Linked DNA regions of Canis lupus familiaris. The protein of the gene in region 3 purifies or fractionates together with the protein of the main gene of each other region. This does not show direct contact. Links are inferred from orthologs where the notes say so. Each region holds a gene or a part of one and is shown on either strand. Other genes may lie near its edges. The genes, in order: PDGFRB, SKAP1, FYN, CDC37, CD36 and HSP90AB1.

The links.
Region 1: the proteins of FYN (region 3) and PDGFRB purify together in Homo sapiens (pull-down; 3 studies listed by IntAct, with this or other methods). This does not show direct contact. The link is inferred for Canis lupus familiaris from reciprocal best matches to the Homo sapiens genes FYN and PDGFRB.
Region 2: the proteins of FYN (region 3) and SKAP1 purify together in Homo sapiens (affinity purification with western blotting; 3 studies listed by BioGRID and IntAct, with this or other methods). This does not show direct contact. The link is inferred for Canis lupus familiaris from reciprocal best matches to the Homo sapiens genes FYN and SKAP1.
Region 4: the proteins of FYN (region 3) and CDC37 purify together in Homo sapiens (affinity purification with mass spectrometry; 5 studies listed by BioGRID and IntAct, counting the BioPlex papers as one, with this or other methods). This does not show direct contact. The link is inferred for Canis lupus familiaris from reciprocal best matches to the Homo sapiens genes FYN and CDC37.
Region 5: the proteins of FYN (region 3) and CD36 purify together in Homo sapiens (affinity purification with western blotting; 3 studies listed by BioGRID). This does not show direct contact. The link is inferred for Canis lupus familiaris from reciprocal best matches to the Homo sapiens genes FYN and CD36.
Region 6: the proteins of FYN (region 3) and HSP90AB1 purify together in Homo sapiens (affinity purification with mass spectrometry; 4 studies listed by BioGRID and IntAct, with this or other methods). This does not show direct contact. The link is inferred for Canis lupus familiaris from reciprocal best matches to the Homo sapiens genes FYN and HSP90AB1.

The regions. Positions count from the first base shown.
Region 1 is NC_049225.1:59,864,773-59,869,389, reverse strand, and holds part of PDGFRB (platelet-derived growth factor receptor beta precursor), read right to left. Parts: intron 3,252-4,617; coding exon 3,157-3,251; intron 2,016-3,156; coding exon 1,883-2,015; intron 1,348-1,882; coding exon 1,243-1,347; intron 899-1,242; coding exon 788-898; intron 1-787. UniProt on the Homo sapiens protein: Tyrosine-protein kinase that acts as a cell-surface receptor for homodimeric PDGFB and PDGFD and for heterodimers formed by PDGFA and PDGFB, and plays an essential role in the regulation of embryonic development, cell proliferation, survival, differentiation, chemotaxis and migration.
Region 2 is NC_049230.1:24,648,672-24,653,752, forward strand, and holds the start of SKAP1 (src kinase-associated phosphoprotein 1), read right to left. Parts: upstream 3,387-5,081; 5' UTR 3,224-3,386; coding exon 3,178-3,223; intron 1-3,177. UniProt on the Homo sapiens protein: Positively regulates T-cell receptor signaling by enhancing the MAP kinase pathway. Required for optimal conjugation between T-cells and antigen-presenting cells by promoting the clustering of integrin ITGAL on the surface of T-cells.
Region 3 is NC_049233.1:68,550,809-68,555,425, forward strand, and holds part of FYN (tyrosine-protein kinase Fyn), read right to left. Parts: intron 2,349-4,617; coding exon 2,245-2,348; intron 1,250-2,244; coding exon 1,100-1,249; intron 1-1,099. UniProt on the Homo sapiens protein: Non-receptor tyrosine-protein kinase that plays a role in many biological processes including regulation of cell growth and survival, cell adhesion, integrin-mediated signaling, cytoskeletal remodeling, cell motility, immune response and axon guidance.
Region 4 is NC_049241.1:51,123,858-51,129,012, reverse strand, and holds the start of CDC37 (hsp90 co-chaperone Cdc37), read right to left. Parts: upstream 3,244-5,155; 5' UTR 3,140-3,243; coding exon 3,038-3,139; intron 1-3,037. UniProt on the Homo sapiens protein: Co-chaperone that binds to numerous kinases and promotes their interaction with the Hsp90 complex, resulting in stabilization and promotion of their activity. Inhibits HSP90AA1 ATPase activity.
Region 5 is NC_049239.1:20,646,484-20,651,100, reverse strand, and holds part of CD36 (platelet glycoprotein 4), read right to left. Parts: intron 3,534-4,617; coding exon 3,464-3,533; intron 2,334-3,463; coding exon 2,146-2,333; intron 1,006-2,145; coding exon 887-1,005; intron 1-886.
Region 6 is NC_049233.1:12,851,407-12,855,179, reverse strand, and holds the end of HSP90AB1 (heat shock protein HSP 90-beta), read right to left. Parts: coding exon 3,711-3,773; intron 3,489-3,710; coding exon 3,298-3,488; intron 3,188-3,297; coding exon 3,040-3,187; intron 2,917-3,039; coding exon 2,648-2,916; intron 1,747-2,647; coding exon 1,413-1,746; intron 1,301-1,412; coding exon 1,191-1,300; 3' UTR 922-1,190; downstream 1-921. UniProt on the Homo sapiens protein: Molecular chaperone that promotes the maturation, structural maintenance and proper regulation of specific target proteins involved for instance in cell cycle control and signal transduction. Undergoes a functional cycle linked to its ATPase activity.

The DNA.
Region 1 (4,617 bases), on a different chromosome or scaffold from region 3:
TCCTAAGATGATGCCTTTATCAGCTCGGCTCAGGGCCGGGCACGTAGCAAGGACACCCAGAGGTTTTTCAAACTAAAGCTTATTCTGGAGCCCAGAACATAAAGTAAATAAAGGCAACTATTTCATATCAAGCTGCTGTTTCGGTCCAAATACAGTGCACTTAGTTCAAGTCAATCAGTGGGAACTTGATGATATTGATGAAAACAAAAGATTTTGAAACGGGTAATCTTGCGGACATAAATTGGCCTGAGTGTGCAACGCACTTCTGTATTTTCTTTTGGTTGCACAATACTGAGGAAAATCCCAAATCTCACAATAAGCAGCTGCAAACAATGATAATACTTCTTTTTTTTTTTGTTATGGCCTAACTTGCCATCAGAGCCTCAAACAAACACACCGGCTGGAGGGACGTTATTCTATGACCTGAACAGAAGCGGAATAAGCCAGCATGCTGGCGCTGGTCTCCAGATGTGGGGATATAACTCACCTCCCAGGGGGCTGGGGTTTGTGAGCTTGTCAAATGTCTTGTGAAAATTTAAACACATCAGAGGACCCCTGAGTTTGGAAATGGCCAGTCTAAGGAGTCCTCGGGCCTTGAAGGTGCTGTGATTCCATGAGTTTGTAAAGCCCACCCCTCCACCTGGGTCTGTGAAATGAGGGCACTGGACAGGCTGCGTGCAGACCCTCCAGCTGGAGTGTCCTGTCATCTGTGGACAGAGGGCCAGGGGAGGGGCCGGCTTAGGCTACTGGCATTTTCCAGAATGCTCTGGGGGAGTGGTTTTAGTACCTCCTTTGGTGCAGGCCCCCAGCAAGTTGACCACATTTAGATGGGGCCCGAGGTGACTCATGATCTTCAGCTCTGACATGAGGGCCTGCTTCTCGCTGCTGCGGGCTGTGGCTGAGGGGGCAGAGATGAGGCCTCAGGCTGCCCTGTTGCCAGGGCCCCAAAAAGGCCCTTTGGCCCCACCCTGTGCTGTAGGACTCCCATGGCCTAAGGTGGCAAGGGCCCACGAGTAGGGGGAGGAGAAGGAGACAGAAGGAAGGTCAGGGAGGGAAGGAGGTACCAGGAAGGTGGGCAGGCAGCCTCTTAGCCAGAGCAGAATCTGGAGTGGGGCTGGCCTCCAGGTGGCTGCATTGCTGTGGCCAGCAAATCAGAATCAGGGAGGGCCTGAATGTGTGAGCAGGGGGCAGGGAGGAGGTGGGGGCCCAGATGTGAGGAAGCGGCAGGCTGCCAGGACTCACATTTCAGCATCTTGACTGCCACTTTCATCGTGGCCTGCGAATGGCTTAGGCCGTGAGCCGTCGCCTCCACCACCTGCCCAAAGGCCCCAGAGCCGAGCGTACGTCCTATGGTGGAGATGATCCGTCAGCACCTGGCCCACCAGGAGTCTGCATCCCTCACTCTCTCTGAGATCAATCCTCGAAGCCAACCTGGACTTAAAGTGTTCCCCTCAAGGAGTCTCCTAAGTCCACAGTGTTTTGCAGCCCTTCCCTGCAAAGTCTCAGCTGACTTAGTCTTAGCTAAGTCCTGCCTGCTTTCTGGCCCATCTGCAGTCCCTGGAAGCCTTCCTCCCACCCCGGAAGGGAACTCAGCTCCTCAGCGTGTCTCAGCCTTCCCAGCTAGACCAAGCACAGGCTTGACATGCAGCCTGTCCTCGATTAATACATCTCTTGCCACAAAGGGCTCCTATGTCACAGTCACAGGACCATAGGACCTCAATGCTGAATGGTCCCTGGGGGATCATCTCGCCCCATTGTATGGAAGGAAGGCAGGACAGGAGCCCTAGGTCTCAAAGCTAGTCATGGCAAAGCTGGGCCACACCTCAGTCTTCCCACCCGCCTCAAGTTCCCAGACTGCCACACAGGGACACTCTGGACTGACCAAGCACGAGCTGGTCCCTCGGCAGCTCCCAGGTGGAGTCGTAGGGCAGCTGCATAGGGTCCACGTAGATGTACTCATGGCCATCGGAGCTCACGGATTCAATCACCTTCCATCGGATCTCATAACGTGGCTTCTGCGGGACCAGCACCAGGGATGGATCACCACAGGAGGTCTGGGCTTTGAGGCCCACAAGCCCATAGCCCCTTATATAACAGATGCAGCACGAGACTCTGAGGCCCAAAGAGAGGCAGAGGCATATTTGAAGTCACAGAGCAAGTTACTGATAAAACCAGCCTCATGGGCTCAGTGAGAACAGGTGGCAAGAGGCCTCAGCATGACCATGGCTGAGGAGCAGCTAACAGCCAAGGGCCCGGTTCATCAGAACTTCCTCATCTTGGGGCAGCCCAGGTGGCTCAGCAGTTTAGCGCCGCCTTCAGCCCAGGGCCTGATCCTGGAGACTCAGGATCGAGTCCCACGTCAGGCTCCCTGCATGGAGCCTGCTTCTCCCTCTGCCTCTTTCTCTCTCTGTGTGTCTCTCATATATAAATAAATAAAATCTTTTTTAAAAAAAAAAAAAAACTTCCTCATCAGCTTCTCCCAGAGCCCCAACTGCTTCCCAGATGGAAGTAGAGGGGTGGGCAGCCCTGAGAAGTGACACAAGCTACGGGCACTCAGCTAGGTCTGGACAGCCCTCCCATGCTCGGTCACTCGCAGTGGATATCTCAAAAAGATATAAGCTTAGGATGTTGAAATCACAGGATGTTGGAATCACAGGATTGGAATCTCAGAATGATAGAATCATGGGTGCTGCAATCCTAACTCAGGAATCTTAAAATGTTGGGATCACAGAATGGTGAAGCCTCTCTGAACAGAGCACTGAAATTACAGGTTAATAGGATTAGAATGCATTTCAGCAGAAGCCTGGGAGTCTCGGGGTGAGAGCTGGAAGAACCCTGGAGCCCATGTAGTCCACCCAGAAAGTGCCTTGCCCTGTGTCGTGGCAGGGTTGGGGACAGGGCTGATGTCCAAGCAAAACCTGGGAGGGCAGAGCAGAGGCAAGGGACCTTGGAGGGCCCGGACCAGGCCCAAGACAGCCTCTCCTGCTGGGGGTGGAGGCAGCTTGGACACCCACTGGCACTGCACGTCATTTTACACCTGCCTTCTGTGCAGGGCAGGGAGGTGGCCGGGTCCTGTGACACTCAAGGACAGTAGGGGGCTCCATGCAGAAAACCTAGAGTGTTAACCTGCACCCATTAGTGGGGATAGGAGGTTACCTTTTGCCAGAGCATGATGAGGATGATGAGGGAGATGATTGTGAGAACCACCAAGGCCAGGATGGCCGAGATCACCACCACCTTGAAGGGCAGAGCTGGAGGCAGAGACAAGAGCTGACCGTAAGGAGACAAGGAGCTTGGCAGCTGCCCCGTGCCCCTCACCCCCCACCGTTGGTACCGCAGATCCTCTCTGCCTGTCCTGCCCGGGATGGAAGCCTCCCTCCACCAGCCACGGCCTGTGATGTCAGCCCCTCCGTCTGGGCCATACCTTCAGCCTCTGCCATCAGAACCCACACCCCTCAGTAACAACTGCAGCTCAGATTCTCTGGGCCCCCATATGCCTTCAGCCTTTGCAGGGGTCAGTCTGGCCAGTCTGCCATGGCTCCAGATTGGATGCCAGCTCCTGACGACTGGACTCGCCTCGCCTCTGAATCCAGGCCCTTGCCCAGGGCTGTCACAGCCTGTGACTGAGCTCCCACAGCCTGATGGATACAGATCGTTTCCTCCTGGCTTCATCCCAAGCACCCAGGGGTGTTGGAGTTATAAGGTGCATCCCCCAGGGAACAGGGGTAGCCAAGTGGGGCTGACTCTGGGCCCCATGCCCCAAGTCTCTTCCCTAAGGCCTCAACCTCTTTGCTGCACAAGTTCCCTTTCTCTTCCCCTGCCTCTACATCCATCCCAGCCACACCCTCATCTCCCCTTCCCTGCCCCTGCATCTACCCCAGCCAGATCCTCATCCCCCCTACTCTGCCCCACTGGCCACCCATGGGGTCCCTGAGGACTTCGTTCCCTCTTCCTCTGTCCCTCACTTGCCCCTCTAAGCACCCCTAGAGGCCCTGTCCCTCCTCCTCAGGGCCCCAGAACAACTCCTCTCCTCTCTCCCCACTCGGTCACACATCCCAGTCCTGGGAAGGAAGTCTGAAATTCTAAGGAGCCATCTGAATAAAAGGAAGAGACTTCGTGCAGCCACGGTAGTTTCCCTGTGGGCTGGTACATGCCCGCCTCCTCCTGTGACACAGAAAAGCTTTACTTCTGTCTTGCTCGGGGCTGGTCTGCAGGTGCCCACTTGCCTGAATCCCACGGCTGGGCATGGAGCCCCTCCTCCCTGTAGGTTTTCCCCCCCAAAGTACTGCCCCCTGCAGTGGGATTGCCTAATTGCTTGTCTGCTGTTGCTCTGGACTGTGGGCACTAGAAGGGCAGGCAGGGCTTGGCCTTCTCCAGTGAGAAAGAGGAAGGAGAGAGTCAACGAAGTACAAGCACAGGGGTGTATGCATGCATAGGGACTGGCAGGCAGCAAAAGCATCCAGGCGCTGGTGGACACATATGAATATATGCATGTGTACCTGCTCGTAGATCTGCATCGTACAGCAGGCATCTGTGTGCAGAGACTGTGTTTGCGGGCTTTCACGGAAAGGTGTGCTGCAACTCCATGCTTACAGACATGCGCTATGCCAGTTGGCA
Region 2 (5,081 bases), on a different chromosome or scaffold from region 3:
CAAAAATGGATTGTATATATTATTAGTCTTAAAAATATGGACACTTTCCAAGCCAATACATACAGACCTATCACATTCTTTTTAATGACTGCAAAATATTCCATAAGATGGATAATTCATTCATACCATTGCCCTGCCTTTCCCAACTCCTGGACATTTAAGATGGATCCTTGTACATATATACTTCATGTCCTTTAAATTCAGTAACATAGATTCCCAGAAGTGGAGTTTCTAGGTCAAATGAAACATTTTCAAATGTTTAAAATTTTATCCTTAAAATTAATTTTAGACCTTCAACATTTCTGTTCCTTTCTTCATTATGCAAAATTTTGGCATAAACCTTTCATAATGCTTTGCATATTTTATTTTTAAAAGCACACATATTATGTCAAAAAACACCCCTGTCATTTCTGTTCATGTAGTTATAAATAAATAAATGCTTAAGTTATGGCCGTGATGGCCAGCGTTAAATCACCATGCGAATGCTTATGCCTTGGTTTATGAAAGTAGTAATTCATTGTGGAAACTCCACCCCCACAACCATGTGGCAGCACTAAAGTGGCAGCTCTCTCACCCTGTGACTTTCTCCACTGAGTGACAATATAGAGATCAGGACCTACATATTTTCTAATTGTCAACAGTTAACCTTAAAAAGTGTGTGTGGTGGGGAGACAAGTACACAGCAACAGACAATAAATTGAAAGTCATTATGGGTTTCTAATATCCACAGATTATTTGTAGTATAATGAATAATTCTGTTGGTCTACACCAGAGACTATATATCATTAAAAAAAAACAAACCTATAACCAATGTGTTATGATTACATGAACCTTTCAAAAACATAGTCCTCAAACATTTTTCAATAGAATTATTGGTTGGAATCCCCCCTCTCCTTCAGATTCAGATTCTAATTGCAAACTTTAAAAAAAAGGCCTTAAAGAAATACATTAACCAACGAAGCTCCTTAAAATTTAATCTCAGACTCCTCTATAGATTCTAAAGACCCAGGCACCAACACAGATTGTTAAGACACAGCAAGTTTGACACAGAAGTATGTGACATGCAATTAATCTCCATTCATACCCTGCTCTACTTGTCAGCAAACAAAGGTTCTGCTTTAGAAGGAGATCTGAAGACTTCAATTAAAAACAGTCAGCTAACAAGAAAATAATCTAAGCTAAAGGAAGGTGGCAGGTACAGAAATGAGTTGTTTACCAAAGTGTCAGTTTTGAACAATAAAGAACTGCACATCAAAAATGTTGAAGGAGTGTATTTCATTGCAAGCCTCTGAAAATAAAAAAGAATTTCCTACTAAAGCTGCACACAAAACGGAAGTATAGTTTAACAAGCTGGTAAAATAGGTTTCCTCTCATCAAATGACAGATACCAATAAAAATAATCACTTTATATTTTTAAACACAAGGGCAGAATTACATTTTTTGCCACAGTTCCTTCTCTCCCAGAAACCATCACACTTTGAGTCTCTCTTTACATTCAACATACAATATTGAACCAATGGCAGAAAGAGAGGCTGGATTGCTTCTTCTCAGACACCCAGATGATGCTGCTTCACCCTACAAATACTTTTCTACTCTGAAAGTTTAGATTTACTCGGGTCATATAAGTAAAGTGGATTTTGGAAACTTCACCTCAAAAGAAATACCTCGTTGACAGCTTTTACATAGAAGCAATCCAGAATGGAAACAGTGCTACAAACAGAGACCAAAAGGACTGCCAAATATTTGATTAGGAGGCATTTATACCAAGATAACAAGGTAATGGAGATATAAAACCAATTACATTGAGAGAAACTGAAAAAAAAAAAAAAAAAAAAAAACTCCTTGCCAAAAGTCTGACCTGCCCAAAGCAGGCCATCTGTTAAATATGTGTCAAAAATGTCACTTGGATGCCAAAAGGCTTAATTCAGAGTCGTTTCCTCCTGGGACGCTTATGCAAGGACAGATTCCAGGCCTCTGTCCTTCCAGGAAGGTCAGTTACAGGAAAGCAAATCACTTTTGCCAGAAAGCAGTGTGAATGGAGCTGGAGATATTGCCCATTAGCAAAAAGTCTCTTTCCAGTGTTAGAAGCATCTGTGGAGTGTTGCTGAATATGGCCTTAACTCTTAAAAGGACTGCTTAGGCACCATAGTTTGAAGGTAAACACACCAGTGTGGGGCATTTCTAGAAGAGTTAGAAACTTAATACTGCATCCACCTGCCCTGGGTAGACAGCAAGACCCGCAGAAGTCTGCAGGCTGGCAAAAGGAGGCTGGGGCCTTCGGCACCGACAAAACTCACACTTAGCCCCAGGCCTTGGCCAACAGCATCCCACGAGCCCCTCGAGCCCCTCACAGCCCCCGAGAGCCTCGAGGACCTGGAGCAAGAAGGTGAGGGGCTTCGGGGCTGGGGAGGGAGGAAAGGCAAAACCCCACAGGCGTCGGGGTACTGTCCCGAGGAGAAAGGGTCTGGCCAAAGACCATGCAAGGTCGCATGGAGGCCCCCCCCCCCTGCCAAGAACCTGGCCAGACGTTGTTCAGAAGCCTGGAAGGTGAAGTGGAGGGTGGGTGGAGATGCCTCGAGGAAGAAATAAAATGTGGGGACGCCGGGGTGGCTCGTCTGCCTTCTGCTGGAGGCATGATCCTGGAGTCCTGGGATCGAGTCCCACATCAGCCTCCCTGCATGGGGCCTGCTTTCCCTCCGCCTGTGTCTCTACCTCTCTCTGTGTGTCTCTCATGAATAAAATCTTTAAAAAGAGGAAAGAAAGGAAAGAAAAGAAAGGAAAGAAGAAAGAAAGAAAGAAAGAAAGAAAGAAAGAAAGAAAGAAAGAAAGAAAAGAAAAGAAAAGAAAAGAAAAAAAAGAAAGAAAAGAAAAGAAAAGAAAAGAAAAGAAAAGAAAAGAAAAGAAAAGAAAAGAAAAGAAAAGAAAAGAAAAGAAAAGAAAAAGAAAAATGTGGAACTGAGGGGGAGTGAATGGGACCCTGAGCGGACAGGATGAAATCTGGGTCTGCAGAGTTGAGGGTTCCAGCAGTCTTGAGGTTCTGGAAGGCTGTGGATGATGGAGCCGAAAAGAGAGGCCGGTCTTGGGAGCCCCTGGGTCTCGGCTCGGGCCTCCAGCTCTGCACCTGCGGGACTTCCCAGGGGGCCGGGAGGGGGGCCTGGGGCCGGGCCAGGGCGTTACCTTCCATGAGCCAACGGATCTCCTCGGGGAGGGCGACGGCCTGCATTTGGCCGGGCTGCGGGGAGGCCGGAGTGTGAGGCGGGAGAGCGGCCGTGAAGGCCTGGAGCCAAAGCCCGCGGGCTGGCAGGCGGCTGTCTCCGGCGGAGGCACCTGTACCTCTGTCGCCGCTGCTGCGGCAGCCCGGCCTGGCCGCAGGGCGGGGCCGCGGGCCCGGGGCGCGCTCAGGAAGTGGCGCGCGCGGCGGGCGGGGGGCGCGCCCCGGGCGGTGTTGGGGGGAACACCTGTGCGCGGGTGCCCGCGCCACTCCCGCGGCGCCCGCAGGTGGAAGCACTGGGGGGCGGGGAGCCGCACAGCCACCCCTTCTCCCCGCACCGGAACAAAAGACTAAACGCGGCCCAAAGGAACTTCATCTCCTGGGACACTTTCTACCCTAAGTACTGGCCGGTGGGCCTCAAGGGACGCGTCCCAAAGCCACGGTGGTGCCCGGAGTGGGGCGCGGAGCCGCAGAACGCGGGGAGGCCGTCCCCGCCGAGCCCCGCGGCAAGCAGTTCCCGATCCGGCTCGCACGTCCACGCCCAGAAAACGGGGCAGAACGTCCACTATCTCGGGCAAACCCCTGTCTCAAAGGAACGGCTGCAGGTCTCAAATAATAAAGCCACCAACACTGGGGAGGAGCGGAGCGGCGCGGCTGCAGCGGATACAGGGAGCCAGTGTCCCTCCCTAAGGCTGTAAGGATGCCAGGAAAGGATGGGGTAACCCCGAAGAAGGCGGGGGGGAGAGAGGACGCCAGCCTTTTGCCTCTAACAGCTGGCAAAGGGAGGAAAGTGAAGAACGGGAGATCACAGAAGTGTTCTCCTCCCCTCCTCCAAAATACAGTATGGGTCCCTATCCTGCTTGCGATCTGAAACTGTAGTATTGCAAGATGTTACCACTGGTGGAAACGAGTAAGGAAGGGGTAGAGAGGATCGCTCTGTATCATTTCTTTTAACTTCTGTGAATCTCAGTGACCTCAAAAACCTTTGTGGAGTTTTTTAAGCTCAATAAACCAAGTGCCATGAAAGCAGAAAGTGCCATGAGCGTAAAAGGAGGGAGACAAATATATTTTTTTAAAAAAGGAGAGAAGTGTGGGTGCATATGTGTTTAATGGTGCATATGACATTCAAGATGGGCCCTGAACACACCAGGCTTGGAAGGGGCAGGAGGGCTTTTCAGGTGGAAAGAACAGAATAAAAAAAGATGGAAAAACCTTTTGCTTGAGGAACAGCGAATAACCCTTTTACTGGATGGTATAGGGAAATCATGGCTGTCAAGAAAACGTGAAGTCTTATTGTAAAGGGACTTGAAAGTCAGAATGAGGATTTTGAACTCAACTGGGGAGACATTGACAAGTTTTGAGCTGTGGCATGTGACCTGTGTAGTTGTGTGATCTTGCACATTTCACATTTTCCTTCTTTATAAAAAATGGAGTTTCTAGTCTCAGATTCTTGCATACAACAAGAATATGTGGGAAGGATTGAAAGCAGTGAGGGAGAGAGAACACAGGGAAGATGGGTGAGTGGTTTTTTACAGCAGCCTCAGGGGAAAATGTTGATGGAACCACGGATTTGGGGATGGAAGCCATAAGGAGAAACTGTCCAGAAGGACAGGGAGTGGCACTGCCTGCCTCCTGGCATAGTTTCCCAAGGTTGGGGGCTTGATCCTTTAAGGGGTGCAGTGGCTTTGTAATGTAGGCTTGTAATGACTATCTTTACATGTCCACATCCTGCAATCTGAAGAGGAATGGTCCCTTGGTTCCAGGATCACATGATCCATCCACAAGTTGTAGCAAATTGGGCTGGGGGTGGAGAGACAGGGGCTGGGGCAGGAAGGGTGTCTCTGGGGACTCTGGCTCCTACTGCTGCTCC
Region 3 (4,617 bases):
TTTCACTTTTTCATTAGTGCCCAGGATGAATCGATAGGTATTTCTTATTGCCACTTTCAAAAGATTGCTTTTTTCTCGGTGCTAAAAAATTATACACAATTTTAAAAAAAAAAAATGAGTGTGCACAGAGCAATAGTTGAGGTCAAGCCATGTACTATTTTGGGGTTTTGTTACTGTCCTGAAGAACAGTATATAATGTGTATATATATATATATATATATGTATGCATATATTATGTGTGTACACATAATACACACACACACATATACAGATCACAGAAAAAACTACAGGGATCAATGGGACATAGATCTGTATATGCATGTGCATCTATGTAAAAATCCACCTGTGTGTATATGTTATGTGGTGCGATAGCCTTGCTAATCTTAGAAAGTAATCGTTTTGACACTTGTATATAAGACCATATTCTTTACTAAAATGTGCGGACTGTACACCTAAATACCTCATAAGCATATATTTCTAGGAACAACACACTAACAGTGACCTCTGGGTGTTAGGACAGCGACTGATCTAGTTACTGTTTGTAAGCTGGATTTAATACAATAGCTATAACAGATCTAGGAGCTGTGGGCCACACAGTCTACATCTAGTTAGGAAATAGCCGAAGTGGTGGAGGAGTGGAACGTGATAAATGGACTGCAAAATGCATCTGGTCATGGGAATGAAAAGCATGTGCAGCCAGTCCCGTGAGTGCTGAGTGTGAACTGGGGACCCTCGACAGGAGCCCCCCCGCCCCCAACCGTGAGTTCCCTCCCAGACACTGCTCCCTCTCCTGTCACGGTTTCTGATTACAGACCCAGGGGAACAGGAAAAGATGACAACATTTACAATTTAACCTATTGCTTCGTACTTGAGAACTAGAATGTTTTAGAATCTTTTGACAAATGCGTGGAACTAATAACAACCATGGTAAAAAGACATCAACAGAACCTATTCAGCTAAGCCCCACCTTGCCTGGCTGCAAAGAAAACTATGCCACTGCTGACCTTGCTCATGCTTGTACCTCCTCCCCGCCCGACCTCCCTAGGAGCCTCCCGTTCCCTCCAGTGTCCCGGTGGTGAGTAGCTAGAGTCAGGGTTACCTGAGTAATGTTGTACAAGCTGCTGAAGTGTTTCAAACTGGGCCCGGGTGGTAATATAGTATCCACCATTGTCAAGTTTGCGAATTTTATAATGTTTGACATGGTCTCCTTTCATATCATCCCAATCTCGGATCGACAGTGAATAGGCACCTGGTAAATATGCAAAGCATTAGCAGCTCCAATAATTTTGAAAGCTCATTTGTTTTTTGGGTCTCACTTACCTGACTATTCTGATTAATCAATATGAAGAGAACACACACACGCATGTGTGCATGCACGTTTGCACATGCGCATCTGCACACATGCAAATGTGCATGCACACACACTCTTCCTACTCAGTAACAGAAGAAGAAAACACATCTTTCTTGCAAATGCCAGAAGTTATTAGCAATTAAGTCATTTTATCCTTGAGAATGAAAGCGTCCTGACCCTCTTCAGTACCCTAGTGTTGCCTAATATGGTATTAGACCCAACTCCCCTGGGGGCGGATGAAGAGAAACACAGACACACAGGCAGGCTGGGGTCTCTGTCCTCATCTTCCTTACCCCTGGAGTGCTGCAGAGGCAGTGGCCACGTGTGTTGAAGAAGGGTAAGGACCGTTTCTCTAGAAGGGAGCCTTCAGATTCCACTTCACTGTCTCAGGAGCACATAACCATGGCTAGTAGATCAAGCTAGAAGGCCACTGCTCCTCCTTTCCCTTGGCCCAGCTCCCTTTTGTGGGCTCTGATGTGTGGGTGGTTAAATAATGGAAGGCCAGTGGTTGGAGGAAGAGCAGTCCTCAGATTTGAAAAAACAAAAGGAATGCAAAAATAACCTGTAGGATTGGTGCCTGAGGAACCACAAGCTGTAGAAATCAGTAACTCTAAAGAACTGCCGTGAATTCTATCATCTTGCATGTCTGCAGGAGTGAAGCTGCCTGGCCCCTGTTTTGGGAGAAAGGGCTTGATTCTGAGCCTCTACAGTTCTTTTGGAGCTGTCTGTGGTTCTAGAGCCTGGGGGGGAAACTGAAAATAGGACTCTGCTCACAAGGTGGGGAGGATATGTGCCATTTAAAAATCCTTGTACGTTAGAGAGAAGCCTTTTCATCTGCTCTGACTAATCCACAGATTTGAATGACAACCAAGTTCTTCAACTCCTTATCTTACCTTTGGTGGTTTCACTTTCACGGATAAGAAAGGTACCTCTCGGGTTTCCAAAGGACAAAAGCTGTCGCTCAGCATCTTTTCGGCCAAGTTTTCCAAAGTACCACCTTTAAATGAGATCAAGGGAAGGAAACATTTTGTAAGGGATCATTTACAAAACTGCAGTAGTGATCCTCCTCACCTCCGATCGCATCCCTAGCCTTTCCCCTTCCACGTTTTCCTAGCCTCATCTAGTTCCCTTTCAGTCTGCTCCCGATTCCATCCCTAATCCATCTTTTTCAGTCTTTGAAGAAAATAAATCAGATTGGAATCGTGGGCGATTTTCCTTCTCTTCCAGAGGTGACAAGAACTGGTTTGTGTTAACACTGCCACCTGCATTCACAAGAAGAGAAATCTAAGACCTTGTTTTGAAATGGCAAGTGCAGCAGACCCTTTCCGTGCATGTCTATAAGACCCTGGATTTCTGAGCATAATTACAACACCTGGGAAATAACGAAACTGCAGCCTTAGTCTAAGTAAAGATCATTAATCAAGCATTGAAAAAAAAAAAGTCAGGATGGATAAAGAACAGAAACGTGATATTTTCAGTAACTTCGTACCTACAGTGATTTTGGAAAAAAAAAAAAAAAAAGAAGCTGTCAAGACTACCCCTAATTTGAGATGACTGCTGCCTTTGGATGCTTGCTTTCATGCTCTTCCTGGCCAGCAGGTGTGAGGACTTGTGTAAATGGAAGATCTGCCCAGCAGATGGGTGGGGATCTGCGCATGTGTGCTCTGGCTCAGCTGCAGGGACAGGTCACTACACAGTCAACGAGCACGGCCTCACAAACGACTGGCTGTTGCAGCTGTTTCCTATCCTCCCCGTGACAACACCCTGGTGCCGTGTGAGAAGGCGTCGCGTCAAGTCACCTCACAATCTCTGCTGTTCATCTTTTATCTTCCCTTCCGCTCTCTAGCCCTAACCATGGCTTGGCAATTAGCTAACGTTTCTGCAACTAGCTGCTGAGGGAGCAGCAGCAGGTGCCGTGGGAATCCACGACAGAATTCAGGAGAACCCCGTCGGAATCTGTGCACAGACACAATTTTAGAATATTCAACTGTGAGAGGATCCAATTTCTAAAATGAAATTTTAATTCACTATACTTGAACATAGCTATTATGTGTTCACTGTCAAATTCTTTTGTGAATGAAGGAGCCTCGCTGAAGATAAGAAAAGACACACTCCAAGCGAGCTCCTCGGTGACTTTTAAAGGCACCAGACTGTGCAACAATCCTAACTTAGCGCTAGACGGTATAAAGAGAATCACAACAATTATTTACGAGAAATGACTTTCTGGGTTTGCATCGGTTGCCGGATGAAAACGCAGTATAAATGCAAATGGTGGTGAAAAGAGAACAGTTGGAACAATGGGCTGAACCAAGACAATAGCATTTTAAGATAATGGTAATTAATTGCCTATGTAAAGCCATAGGCGTTATCTTCTTAAGATGCTAATTTATTCTTTAAGAACCACGTATTTTAAAAACTGACCATTACAAATATAGCTTAAATATATAGTCGGTAGGTTCTCAGTTAAATCAAAGTATTGCCACCTTTTAGTGGTACCTTTTATTCTGAAAGAACGCACAGATGTTGGCAAATCTGCCCCCCAAAATAAAAATTCAATACAAATTCCTTTATTCTCTGATGATAAAACACACTCCCTAGGAGAAAAAACTGAGTATTTGAGAGTGGGAAACAAAACCGGTCTCCTTAGAGCAAATATAAAGGAATTAAAGGCAAGACAGTGATCCTGTTGGGAATTTGGTTGGGGTGCACCGTCTAATCCTCCCCGTCGTGCTTAAACAAATCCAGGGCAAAATGCCATATCAGAGCCAAAGGATGGCGGGCTTCGTGGCTGACTCTCCTTGCCCCCCTTACTGGTCAGGCAAGGCCACCAGAAGAGGCAGATGCCCAGGGTGTCAGGGAGGAGGACAGGTTCCCCGGATCTGGGAGTCATGGGCCAGTTTTCTTTCCCTCAGTTCAGAAATGAGGGTTGCCACACGGGCCACTCTCATTAGTTCTCCCTTTTGGAAGCGACCATGACTCTGCGCAGGCCAGGAGAAGGAACGATGGTTGTCCCCTCTAGAATGCCCTCAGCCTGCCAACCATCTTCCCAGACCGGTACCAGTGAAGTCCTTGGTCTGACAGTTAACTGCGAGTCACGATTTACCATCACAGAAACCAACCAAGATGGCAACTCAAAGGAGAGGAGCATTTGAAATGCATCATCAGGGGATCCCTGGGGGGCTCAGCGGTTTGGCGCCTGCCTTTGGCCCAGGGCGCGATCCTGGAATCCCAGGATCGAGTCCCACGTCAGGCTCCTGGCATGGAGC
Region 4 (5,155 bases), on a different chromosome or scaffold from region 3:
ACTGGTGACGTGACCTTGGCTAAGACACTTAAACACTTCTAGCCTTGGAGTTAGTTCCTCTTTGGGAAAAACGCAGCATCAAAGGAGTTACTCCCAGGAAACTGCACGCAGTCCTACGTAATGAACACATTCCGCTGTTAGCGTCACCATCCTGGCCACTGGCCCCAGAGTGGTTCACTCACTCACTTCTGGGCCTTCTCTGAGGCTGTATCTCCAAGTTTGAGCAGAGTCAGGCACGCAGTAGGTGAGAATGGGGAAGCCTTGAGCCTTCTCTAACTTAGCCCCACAGGACTGCTGACAGTCCAGAGTCTCACTTTCCCCAGCTGTGTCAAGGCCGAAAGGGCCCTTGCCTCCTGGAAGAGTAAGAGAGAGGCCTGGGGCTCTGCCATTTTCCCCTCTGGGGCCTGGGGTGCCCTGGGGGCTTCCTGCTGCGGGGCTCTCTGGGGTTGGCATTCTAGCTGGCCTCGGGTGGCAGCAGGAGCCTACCACCCTGCTGGCTTCTGCTGGGTGGCCACTGAGCTCTTCTCGATGTCCTCTGAGTGGCCGCCAGGGAGACTGGAGCTAAATAAAGGCCTCCTGGAGCTGGTGGGGGCGGCAGCCTGCCCAGCACGGGCTTTCCACCTCTGGGAGGGGCTGTGGCAGCCTGGGTGTGACAGGGGCCACAGCAGGAAGCTGGGACCTGCAGGTGTCACCACCTTCCAGCCTTACAAAGAACCTGACGCTCACAGAATCACAGCGCCATAGTTTGATGAAAGGAGTCCCAAGAAACTAGTTTAACAGTAGCTGTATCTGGACAAGGGAGGTGGGGCTGGGACACTCCCTTGTCTCTTTCTGGCACCTCTGGAATCTTTCTTTCCCGGAGCACGGATTACCTAAACAATAACAATGACGGTAACTGCTAAAGTTTACAGAGAGCTTATCACGTGCCACGTGCTATCCTTAAGGACATCACACGTACTCAATAGAGTAACCTCTCATAACAACCCTATCGGGTGGATACCCTTAATATTCCCAACTGGGGAAACCAAGGCACAAAGAGATCAAACAACTTGCTGGAGGTCATGCAGTAAGTCAGTGATTCAGGAGCCAGGACTGGAACCCAGTTGTGCAGGCCTGTGCTCAGAAGTGCAGCAGGCTACCTTTTTCCTAATCTTGCCTCCCCCTCCTATATGCTTACTCCCTCCCAGGCCCGGAGCCAAGTTCTTGTCAGGCCTAATCTCATTTCATTCTTCGGATGGTCTCTAGGGGCAGGAAAAGTAAAGCAGTAAGTGGTAGGGCTGGGATTAGAACCCAAACTTGCCTGTCACTGAAGCTGGGGCTAGAGATGCTTCTCTCCCCTCCCCCCCGCCCCACCCCCACCTGATTCCACTACAGCCATAGGGTCCTCAGCAGGACAAGAAAAGGTTCTGTTCCAGGAGGGAGGAAGGCAGGGTCGGGAGAACTCTGCAGGAGAGGGGGCACTGGTTTCCCACCCAGCAGGACCAAAATGCTCTCCACATAGCTGTATAGATTAACCTCTTTATGTGACAAAAGTAGGTACTCCCAAGAACAGTCTTTAGAGCTCTGTGTTGAGTCTTAAGCATTTCATAATAAAATGTTACACATGGCAAAAAATGGAAGTGCTAGAACTTTCTTCTTACATTCTCCGTGGCTTGCCTGGTAGGTATGTTACCCAAGAGTGCTGCTTTAAGGTAAGGGTTGGAAATGGTACTGGAGACCAGATGTAGGGACTAAAGACACCACAGGATGGGGAAGGGCCCTTCTAGGAGGTTCTGGATAAATGACTGGGAGTTGCCATATGCGAGGGTGGAGTGAGGAATTCCTAACTGGAAGGTTCTGAGAGGTATACGCCCTCAAAGTGAGAGTATAACACGCACAAGTATGTGGGTGTAGAAGCTCCGATTTGGGGGAGCAAGAGATTAGAATATTAAGTCTTATGAGAGCTGCTCTGTTGTCCTGTGAGCACTGCTGGGCAGGGAGATGGGACAACAAGCAGACAGGATTCTGGGATCTGGATTTGGGGGCAAACAGACAAAAAAAGAAGGGGCAGTAAATCTGGAATCAAATTGGGAGGGTCCTTAGAGCAGGCACATGTGGGTGTCTGAGAGCAACAGACCAAGCTGGGGTCAGGAGGAAGGTTGGGTGGGTTTGGGTGCTGGACTTGAGTTGGTAGAAGGCATTCCAAGGCTGCCAGAGGCTTCTACAGGAAACTGTTGGGGGTGGGTGGTGCCTGGGCCTGCAATACCAAGGAGGAGCAGGGGCTCTGGAGGGGCCGGAAGCCCTGTGGGGCAGGGTTTCCTGGTATAATGAGAAACAGGGTCCACAGTAGGTGACGCTAAAGAGTGGCTGGAATTCGAGACTCCATCAGGGGGACCTGGTGGTCCGGTTTGGGCAAGCGGGTTCCAAAACTCCATCCTAGATGAGACCGAAGGCCCTGGTGGAGCATCCAGCTACGTTCTACAGAAGGGGTCCGGGTATGGGTTGGACTCTCAAGCCAAGAGCAGAAACCTCAGGGGAGGGCAGGGTTCCTTGTTCTGTTTGGAGAAGGAATGGGAATCCCTGTCAGGAACCAGGGAGGAAGATCTCCGAATAAATTCAAAGCACCGAAGACTCTAGGATTTGGGGAGGGGCAGATGGTACATCCAAGATCAGAAATGTCTCCCGGAACAGGATCAAGAGTCCAGCTCCGAGGCAGAGTTTTGCGTGTTAAGTGGAAGGTCCCAGAAAGGATTGGGGGGACACCCCCAAAGCTTCTCTTAGCAGTTTAGACTCGGAGGAAGGTGCTCTAAGGGTCAACTGGGAGCTCCACGCAGAAATCGGAGGGGAGGCCGGGGACCTCTGGTAGGGACTCAGCGCCCTGGCAATTCTGAGGTCTGGAGTCGAATCGAAGAACCCCAAGCGGTACTGAAAGCCCAGACTATGCGCTGGGAATCCCAGGTGTCAATGGCGGGGTCCCTGGCAGTACTAGGGGTCAGAACTCTGGAGCGGAGTCCCGGGCGGGGGGGAGGGGGGAAGGGGACGGGCGCGCGCACCCTACCTGGTGCCGCCAGCGGAAGAGGCTGGCCGTGTCGATATTGGGGTGCGTCTCGTCCTCATCGTCAGACACCTCGATGTGGTCCCACACGCTGTAGTCCACCATCTTGCCTCGGCGGCTCAGCCCGCTCCGGCTCCGGGTCTGACTCTGGCGGCGGCAGCGCTGGAGACTCGGCCTGCGGAGCCCCGCCCCTTCCGCTTCCGCCCTGGCGCGCACGTCCCCGCCCGCGCATGACGTTACATCCCTAGTAACCGCGGTGGCGGCTGTGGAGACCCGGCTTGCCTTAAAGGGTCCCGCGCACGTGTTCCGGCCCCCGGGAATCCCGGCAAAGACCCCGCCTCATTGGGCACCTCGTGAGGGTATACGGGCTGGCGTTCCAACCTCGAGCCCCCCTCATCTCCAGCTGTCCCCCCGGTGCGCGTTTGCGGCGGCCTCGGGAGGCGGGGCCGATGGCGAGACTGTAGCAGAGGATTGTCCCCTTAGCCACGCCGCAGTGACGTCAGCCGGAGCCCACTGCAGGGGCGGGCTTCGGCGCGAAGACCTGTCCCTCTGCCCCTGGAGAAGAGGACCTAACCCTGTGCTGGGGAGGGGTGTCTGATGAGAGCACTTTCCCAGTCCTGGGGTACAGAGCCCTTCCCAGGAAAGTTCTAAGTGGAGGAGGGACGTGGCTCCGCCCTTGGGGGGTCGGCTGTGGGGGCGATGTGGCCCTGCCTTGGGAGCTGGTGTTTCCCTAGCTCGGACCATTCTCCCCCTCGCGTCCCCGGCCTGTGACATTCCTGAGCCGGGATTCGCGCACACACGCCCCCTCTAAAATCACCCAGATCCACCCCGGCTCCTCCCTACCCGCCCCCGCCCGAGTCAACGGATCTCGGACTCCTGTCCGAGGCGTCTCCCCGTGCGGCCGCTGGGTGTCACTAATGTCTAGCCAAAGGGGGCCTTTGCTCCTGGCCCCGCGCAGCCGGGGGGCTGGAAGGGGATCGTGGAGGTGCGGATGGAGGCTTTCCTCGTGGTGGTACTCTAGAATCGTTCGTAGCCCCTCCCCTTTGGTCTGGAGCCCCCTTACTCCGCCGGGACTCTAAAGACTCCATTACTGTGAGCTTGGGTGACCCCAGCTGCACACTTGCGTGCATCCCCACCCTCGTTTTGATACTGGGATAAAAGGCCGTGTTGCAGCCTAGGGCCAGGATTATCTCAGATTAAAGGGCGTTCCGTGGGGGCGGGTGGGATGGGAGGAGCTCCAGCCTCTCGGATGAGGGGCGTTTTACCCAGACTACCCCCCAGAAGGTGTTTGCAGAGAGCGGGCTGGAGGGAATGGATTAAAGGGCTCAAAATGGGGGGATTCCCCAGCCCAGGGAAGGGGAGGGGCCTTCCGGACAAAAGCGCCCGCCCGCTGCCTCCCCTCCCCCTCGAGCATCTTTCAAACCCGCGAGTGGGCGGGCGGGGGCGGGGGAGTCCCCCCTCCTCCCCCCCCTCCCCCTTGAGCCCAGGCAGTCCAGCATCTCTGCGGCCGTCAAGGCCCGGGCGCGCGCGCGCACGGACCCACACCCCAGCGGGTCTCACAATCGCGCACACACACATACACACACAACAGCAAACAAAGGGTCTGGACACCCCTGTCCCCTCCTGCCCTCAGGCCGGAGAGGGCGGGGCATTCCCTCCCCAGCCCCTCTCTGCAAGGTAAGCTTCGCGGCTGCGAGCTGCGGTGGGGAAGGGGACCCGGCACCCCGGAGGGAGGGGACCAGGACGCTGTGGGGTTTCCCGCTCCCCGAGAAAGCCGAGGCCCTGCGGTACGCCCTTTGGGGCCGGCCTCCCGGCTGTGGATGTGTGGAGAGGACCCCAGATGCTAGAGATTCCCGGGTTTCCGCGGAGCTCTTTCCGTGGCTTCCGAGACTGGAGCCGACCGGCCCCAGTGAAACGGGGTCCCAGGAGCCCTCCAGCTCCTAGAATTGGGGACAGGGCGCCGGAGGCTTCCCCATCAGCGCCAAGACTTTCCTAATCTGCCAGCACAGCATGTCCAGCTGGATACAGAGACAGAGCCCTCTGAGTTGCTTTGCACTGCCACTGGGTTTCTCACAGCACCTCCATCAGCGCATCTTCCGCCGTCTCTCTCTCGTACCTGCG
Region 5 (4,617 bases), on a different chromosome or scaffold from region 3:
ACTATGATTACATGTGTCTGTGCATGTATGCATACAGATGCATGTATACACACAATTTTTTTGATCAATCAAATCTCAAGGTTTTAGTTAGATTTGAGGTATTTACCAAAAATGGTTTTGAGTAATTAACAATACTGAAACCCAGAACTCATATAGATTGCTGAACTATGCATCACCAATCGTATATTCAGTCAGAATCAATGTATCATCAGTTTAATTATAATAACTAGTTCTATCATTTAAACTGACACATGACCACTAAAATATTTCATTTAACTTCTGAAGAGGAAAATATTTAAATAAATTAAACTGTTGAGCTATAGGAATTTTTAATTAATTTTTCTTGACACTAAGTATAATAGATCTTGCCCCGAATTCACATATACCCATAAAATCTCTCTCCCTCTCTCTCTCTCTTTTTAAAGATTTATTTATCTGAGAGAGGGAGAGGCAGAGGGAGAGAATCTTCAAGCAGACTCCCCAGTAAGCAAGGGGCAGGCTCCATCTCATGACCCTGAGATCATGACCTGAGCTGAAATAAAAAATTGAACGCTTAACCAACTGAGTCACTCAGGTATCCCATGAATTATTGTTTTATGCTTATTTTATACATATTAAATTGTTTTAAGCCAATTAGAATCATTCCTATCATTGGTATTCCTGACTTAGGAACCATTAAAAAGGCCTATAAAGTTCCATATGATGAAAAACTAAAGTTTAATGACCTTGATATTTCATAACCAACACAAGAAAGAAATCAATGTAATTTTCACTGAAATAAAAGTAGTAATTTATCAAGACTGTGAGTCAATAAATGATTAACAAGAGAATTTATTTTTTCTTTCAATTTAATGAATCAAATCAGATCAATAATATATTTGCTTACAGGTTCAACATCTAAGTATGTGGTATGTTCATCTTCATTTGGACTTAAGCCTTCAATAGGTTCTCCAATATCAGGACTTGCATGTAGAAAATGAGGAAGTGAAATATACACAGGTTTTCCTGAAAATAAATTTAAAAGATAATTTGGGATAAAAAGTTTTCCTCATTTCACGTACCACTAGGAAAATAGTTCCTTAAAAATATAACTTTTTCAATAAAAGAAGACATAACTGGGCTTGAACACTGATGGGGGAAGAAGTTGTATGATCTGATCACTATTGTACAAAAAATAAAATACAAATCTCTGCATCATCCAACTAATGTCAATTGTTTTTCCTGAGGTGTTCATTTTCAATATGTAAAATGTAGCTGCTGAGCACAAAATTTCAACCATTATGTTCATATTTCAGTGAGTAATATATCTGTGAACTGAGAATTTAGTAGATTTTCTTTTTCCATTCACATTCATCCCAATATGAAGGAGGTGCACTAAACTAGATGGACTTCAAATTGTATTTAAGTCAATTCTTGTTTCAGAGACATACTGAAAACATATATTTTTTTATGATTTTATCTTTATTTATTCATGAGAAACACAGAGAGAGAGGCAGAGACATAGAGGGAGAAACAGGCTCCATGCAAGGAGCCTGATGTGGGACTCGATCCCAGACTCCAGGATCACAACGTGAACCAAAGGCAGACGCTCAACCACTGAGCCACCCAGATGTCCCTGAAAACATATTTTTATTAATCAATTTCTAGGGAAGAAAAAGCTAGAAAAATGGCAGACGGATAAGTTGGTATGCTCAGAATATCCTAGGAATTATTTTTATCTTACCTGAAAAGAGCACGGGAAACCAACAAAATGAAAGGGCTAACTATGGAATGGTTACAACAAACCAATATCCAATAAGTAGTTAATATCAAAAATACACAATGGATTCATAGAACTCTAAAAAAACAAACAAACAAACAAAAAAACACAAACACCACACAACCCATTTTTAAAAAATGAAATAAGGCCCGAAAGAGACATTTACGAAAATAGAAGGGAAAACATCAGTATGGTTTTACCTAATAATAACTAAAGTTTCACAACATTGACACACAATTTGGACCTGAAAAGCAAAACAACACTTCTCTACCACCACTTGCTTTCTCACTTTGATTTTAAATTTTGGTGGAAAGGGATCTTGGGTAAAGGCTGCATTTCAGACTACTGCAGATTATATAATGGACTGTGGTACTGAGAACACTTACCTTCTTTGCATTTGCCAATGTCTAGCACACCATATGATGTGCAGTTATTTGAGATAACTTTTTCTGTGCAGAAACAATGATTATCTGGATTTTGAAGTGGAGATGCAAAGGCCATGGATGGAAGAACAAATCTATAGACAGGAATTCCTTTCAGGTTAATTTCAGCTCCAAACACAGCATAGATTGACCTAAACACAGATAAGAAAGAACTTTATTCCAGGAAACTGAACTTCATTCTGGAGATTTTTTTCTTTTATTTTTAGATTTATATTCTTGTTAGAATTTTAAACTCTCATGTAATTCACAGGAAAAAAAAATCTTTGTGAAATTTCAGGGCATACCAGGACATACAATAATTCGAGTAAGAGCTCTTCTTACCTTTAGTCTCAAAAGCTTCCAAGAGCAGTTTTTGTGAACTACCATGGGAATTTATACTGAAGACATTTCTCATAGTTAATTTCCTCTATGCATTAAATATTTATATGACTTCCCTCAAATCCCTGTTTGTGCCCACTTTACATGAAATACAATTAAAATTTCTTTCTTTCAAAATTTAATCCTGGAGGGAAGGCCACGGACTCACTGGGGCGTGTGTAGGTGAGTTCTTGATACATAGATCTCATTATTTCCTGTGCACCCCCACCATTTACTGAGTACTCACCCATACCTAGACAATGTGCTGGGGATCAATACATATTTCTTCTAATTCCCACATAACCCTATATGAAGAAACACTGCTCTCTTCAATTTTACTGATAAGGAAAACATTGAGAGATTTCAAATGTTTGCCCATAATGATACATTTTTTTTTTTCATAATGATACATTCTTTAGGAACAGGGCAAGGACTCAAGTGGACTGCCTTGGGCTCCAATGCTTGTGTGATATCTGCTGGACCCACCAATCTTAAAAGGGGCAGTAGTAGCACTAGAGCTCATTAACATAGTCGGTGACAATGGCATCATTTTCCCTGGACATCATTAAAAAAGATGGGCATGTCCTAGACGTGACTGTTATTGAATATAGTTCTAGTGTAGTAAAACAATAAAAAATAAAAAACGAAAAAATAGCTCTTACTTAAAAATGAGAAAGAAAATAATTTGCATTCTGTATATTATCCTTCTGCAGCCCTCAATTTTTATAAAAGTTAATAAGCACATTATGAGTTCCATATTGTACTCTGAATAAATCCAGAAAAATCTCCCTATGTGTACTTTTTTCTCCAGTAACATCATTAAGTATGAGCTTCTTGGTCTGTGTTTTGTCACTGGGGGAAAAAAATTCTGACTCACGGAACTACATCAGTGTCTTTGTCTTACCTGCAAATGTCAGAGGAAAAGAAACGCAATACTCGTGTCTTCTCTACAAAAGGTGGAAATGAGGCTGCATCTGTTTAAAAATCAAGCCAGTGACAAGGGATTAGATGTAATGTGTGTCCTAGAAAAACCTAGACATCTCTATTCCAGTATAATCAATAGAAATATAAGGCACATTGTATATGTAATTTTTAAATTCTTCAGTAGCCACATTTTTTTAGAAAATAAAAAGAAATGGGTATATTTGATTTAACCCAATACATCTCGGGGAACTTTGGTGGCTCAGTGGTTGAACCTCTGCCTTCAGCCCAGGGTCCTGGGATCGAGTCCCACATCAGGCTCCCTGCATGGAGCCTGCTTCTCCCTCTGTCTGTGTCTCTCTTTCTCTGTGTCTCTCATGAATAAATAAATAAATCTTAAAAAAAAAAGTCTCAAATGCCATTATTTCAACATGTAATTGATATAAAAATTAACAAAATCCAGTGTGTATTTTACATTTATAGCACATTTCAATTCACAATTCAATTAAGCACATTTCTTAATTTCTTCAATAGCATCATGTGGCCAGCAGCTGCCATATTCAATAAGTCCAATTTATATTCATTGGTATTTAATTTCATATTAAGTCTTCCCACTCCTTAAAAATAAATGAAAGTTTACAAAAATGATGCCAAAGTCACATGTTTTTAAATGTTAGTTTTTGAAATCCCCCACCTTCTCAGTAGTGTGGCACTTTTCTCACTATGAAGTGTCTTACCGTGAAGTTCTCTTAGAGCTTCTGTTAGATTTATGTTGTCCTACTTTTGATAGTGATTCATTCATCTGTCCTAATGGCTGATTAATATTTTTCTTTTAAGATTTTATTTATTTGACAGAGACCACAAGCAGAGGGAGCAGCCGGCAGAGGGAGAGGGTGAAGCAGGTTCCCCACTGAGCAGGGAGCCCAATACGGGACTCGATCCCAGGACCTCAGGATCATGAGCTGAGCCAAAGGCAGATGCTTGATTGACTGAGCCACCTAGGCACCCTAAATATTTTGAAAGTCATTTAGTAAAATTCTCTCACTAACCAGAATTTCCCCCAAATGTATTGAAAACCTATCCATCACACACTTGGATATATGAAGAGATAGCTAGATAACTCTTGCATTTGCTTCC
Region 6 (3,773 bases), about 56 Mb from region 3:
TCCTTTGCCTTAAGTCCCCCGTTCTCTAGTAGGGATTCTTCTGAGCCCAAGGGTAGAGGACCGTCCTCCTCAGTGTGGAGGGATGCTGAGAAGACAGAGGGACCTTCCAAAGCCTCCACCCCCTCAAATTCCCTGAAGTCTTGCCCTATGGGCTCCAACACCTCACCAGTGCTTGTCCCCTACCCTGAACAGCCCACCCTTGCAGACTCCCAGAGACCTACAGTTCTTACTCTGGTGAGAAAAGCACAAGTGTTGTAGGCTCCAAGTGCTGCTTTCCCAGGAGTCCGTGAAAGCGGGTGCTGTGCTGGAGGAGGGGGATGGGAGAACCCTGCCCAGTGATACCACCCTCTGCTCCTGGATCCCTAGGTTCTGCTCAAAGAGCCAGTTGCAGGTTTTGGTACCTTGGAAATGTAACTTTTTGCTCTTATAATTTTATTTTATTAAATTAAACTGCTGCAATGGGCTTTAAAGTCCGGTGTTTTGGTTGACTGAAGTGTATGCTTTAGGAAGGGGACGGATATAAAGGGCATGGTGTTACACATGCTGGTCTGAGACTACCCTTTAGAAGCAATGTTGGGTGACTTGAAAAGTGCTAAATGGCTATAGGGTGACCTTAGTTTTCAATGTACCTGAAGAATGACCAGGTAAAGCTTGGGATAGAAAAGCTAAGGAAGGGATCCCTGGGTGGCGCAGTGGTTTAGCGCCTGCCTTTGGCCCAGGGCGCGATCCTGGAGACCCGGGATCGAATCCCACGTCAGGCTCCCGGTGCATGGAGCCTGCTTCTCCCTCTGCCTGCGTCTCTGCCTCTCTCTCTCTCTGTGACTATCATAAATAAATAAAAATTTAAAAAAAAAAAAAAAAAAAAAGAAAAGCTAAGGAAACTCAAAAAGCAGCAGGAAATCCACTTTACAAGGGAGAGCATAACTGTATAAAACCGTATCTTCTTTATTTTGCATACTTTAATCTCAGAACAAAATAAACAAACACCACAATACACATCCAAACCCCTTGTCAAATGTCATGAGGGCTAGGGCTTAAGGCCCTTCTGTCCTGCCTCTAACAAAGACAGGAGGAGAAAAAAAAAAATCCACTAGACATCAGCAGAGGGAACCAGGTGAACCGGGGCCACTCAGGGCTGCTGGGGAGCCATGGGGACACTATACAGAGGGCACAAGGTCTGCAAGGAGAAATTAATCGACTTCTTCCATGCGAGAGGCATCCTCATCACCCTCAAGTGGAGGGATCTCATCAGGAACAGCAGCACTGGGTTCCTCCGCTGCCACTTCATCTTCATCGATGCCTAGAAAGTAAAAAAGGCCTGTGAACTTTGATCCAAATACCAGTAAATCATCTTTGTCCCCCATGAGACCAACTCCCCAGTTCCTTGGCACACTCTGGTAACTGGCACCCACCCAGGCCTAGCTTGATCATGCGGTAAATGCGGTTGGAGTGAGTCTGGGGATCCTCCAGTGAGAAGCCGGAGGAGAGTAGAGCTGTTTCAAACAGTAGCACCACCAGGTCCTTGACAGCCTTGTCGTTCTTATCTGCCTCTGCCTTCTGCCGCAGCGTCTCCACAATGGGGTGGTCAGGGTTGATCTCCAGATGCTTTTTGGCCATCATATAGCCCATTGTAGAGTTGTCCCGGAGTGCCTGGGCTTTCATGATCCGCTCCATGTTGGCAGTCCAGCCATAAGTGCTAGTCACGATGCAGCAGGGTGAAGATACCAGCCTGTTAGAGATGGTCACCTGTAGACAATTACAGAAACTCCCATTGATGGTGCATCAGATTATCATTTCCAGGCCAAAATGACTATATGTTAAGTTCTATTTTTTTTAATTCTTTTTTTTACATTTTTTTTATTTATTTATGATAGTCACGGGGGGGGGGGGGGGGGGGGGGGGGCAGAGACACAGGCAGAGGGAGAAGCAGGCTCCATGTACCGGGAGCCTGACGTGGGATTCGATCCCGGATCTCCAGGATCGCGCGCTGGGCCACCCAGGGATCCCTATATGTTATATGAGTTCTACTCAAAAACTCAAAGCTAGAGATGCCTAGGTGGCTCAGGATCTGAGCATCAGCCTTCAGCTCAAGGCGTGGTCCTGGTCCTGCATCAGAGTCCCTGCAGAGAACCTGCCTCTCCAGGTCTCTGCCTCTCTCATAAATGATTGAAATCTTAAAAAATCTGGGATCCCTGGGTGGCTCAGCAGTTTAGTGCCTGCCTTCAGCCCAGGGCATGATCCTGGAGAGTCCTGGGGTTGAGTCCCACAACGAGATCCCTGCATGGAGACGGCTTCTCTCTCTGCCTGTGTGTCTCTCATGAATAAATAAATACAATCTTTAAAAATAAATCTAGGGATCCCTGGGTGGCGCAGCGGTTTGGCGCCTGCCTTTGGCCCAGGGCACGATCCTGGAGACCCGGGATCGAATCCCACATCGGGCTCCCGGTGCATGGAGCCTGCTTCTCCCTCTGCCTGTGTCTCTGCCTCTCTCTCTCTCTCTCTATGTGACTATCATAAATAAATAAAATTAAAAAAATAAATAAATAAATAAAAAAAATAAAATAAAAATAAATCTAATTGTGTAATGCCACAAGATTCTGAGAGCACTTGTTTACAAGACACATGCCCTACTCCCAGAGTTGCTCACCTTTTCAACCTTCTTATCCAAGATTTCCTTCATGAGTTTGCAGAGATTCTCGAACTTGGCCTTGCTCTCCTCCATTTTCTTCTTCTCCTCTTCATCCTCAGGCAACTCCAGGCCCTCCTTGGTAACTGAGACCAGACTCTTCCCATCAAACTCCTTGAGCTGTTGCACGCAGTACTCGTCGATAGGCTCTGTCATATACACTACCTCGAAGCCCCGTTTCCGCACTCGCTCCACAAAAGCGGAGTTGGCAACCTGCTCTTTGCTCTCACCTGTAGAGTTATGGAGTGTGACTCGGGTCAGAATGTCGCCTCCTGCCAGTTCCCAGAGATTCCCAAATGTCCTCCCTCCCTTTCACCCTGAGAGCCTTTGATCAGACCCAAGCTCCAACGCACCAGTGATGTAATAGATGGATTTCTGAGTCTCCTTCATACGGGACACATACTCTGAAAGAGAAGTCATCTCATCTCCAGATTGGGAAGTGTGGTAACGCAGCAGCTCAGAAAGGCGGCGCCGGTTAGTGGAATCTTCATGGATTCCAAGCTTCCAGGGTAAGAAAAAAACAATTTTACTTCTAAATAACATTACCTTCTACGTGAATTAAAAAAAATCCTCCACCATGAATATTCAATAATAATCTGTTGCTTCTGTACCTTTAGGTTTTTAGAGAATGCCTCATAGAATTTCTTATAGTTCTCCTTGTCTTCTGCCAATTCAGAGAAGAGCTCAAGGCACTTCTTCACAATATTTTTGCGAATGACCTTCAAGATTTTGCTCTGCTGGAGCATTTCTCGGGAGATGTTCAGGGGCAGGTCCTCGGAGTCAACCACACCACGGATGAAGTCTGTAATCGACCAGGAAGAAAACAGTTAAAAATGAACTATGCAAGATTATGTAAATTTAATAGGACCCATTTTCTCACTGAACCTTTACTAGCCATGTTAGCTACAATGAAGACTTTTTTCCTTCCTTTTTAGAAAATGAAAAGACCTCAAGTCTTTGAGAATGCTGAGGAAACTTCACAGGACTTACCCAACTAACTACATGAGGCCAAGAGAATACTCACTGAGATACTCTGGTATCAATTCATCACAGCTGTCCATGATAAACACACGGCGGACATACAGTT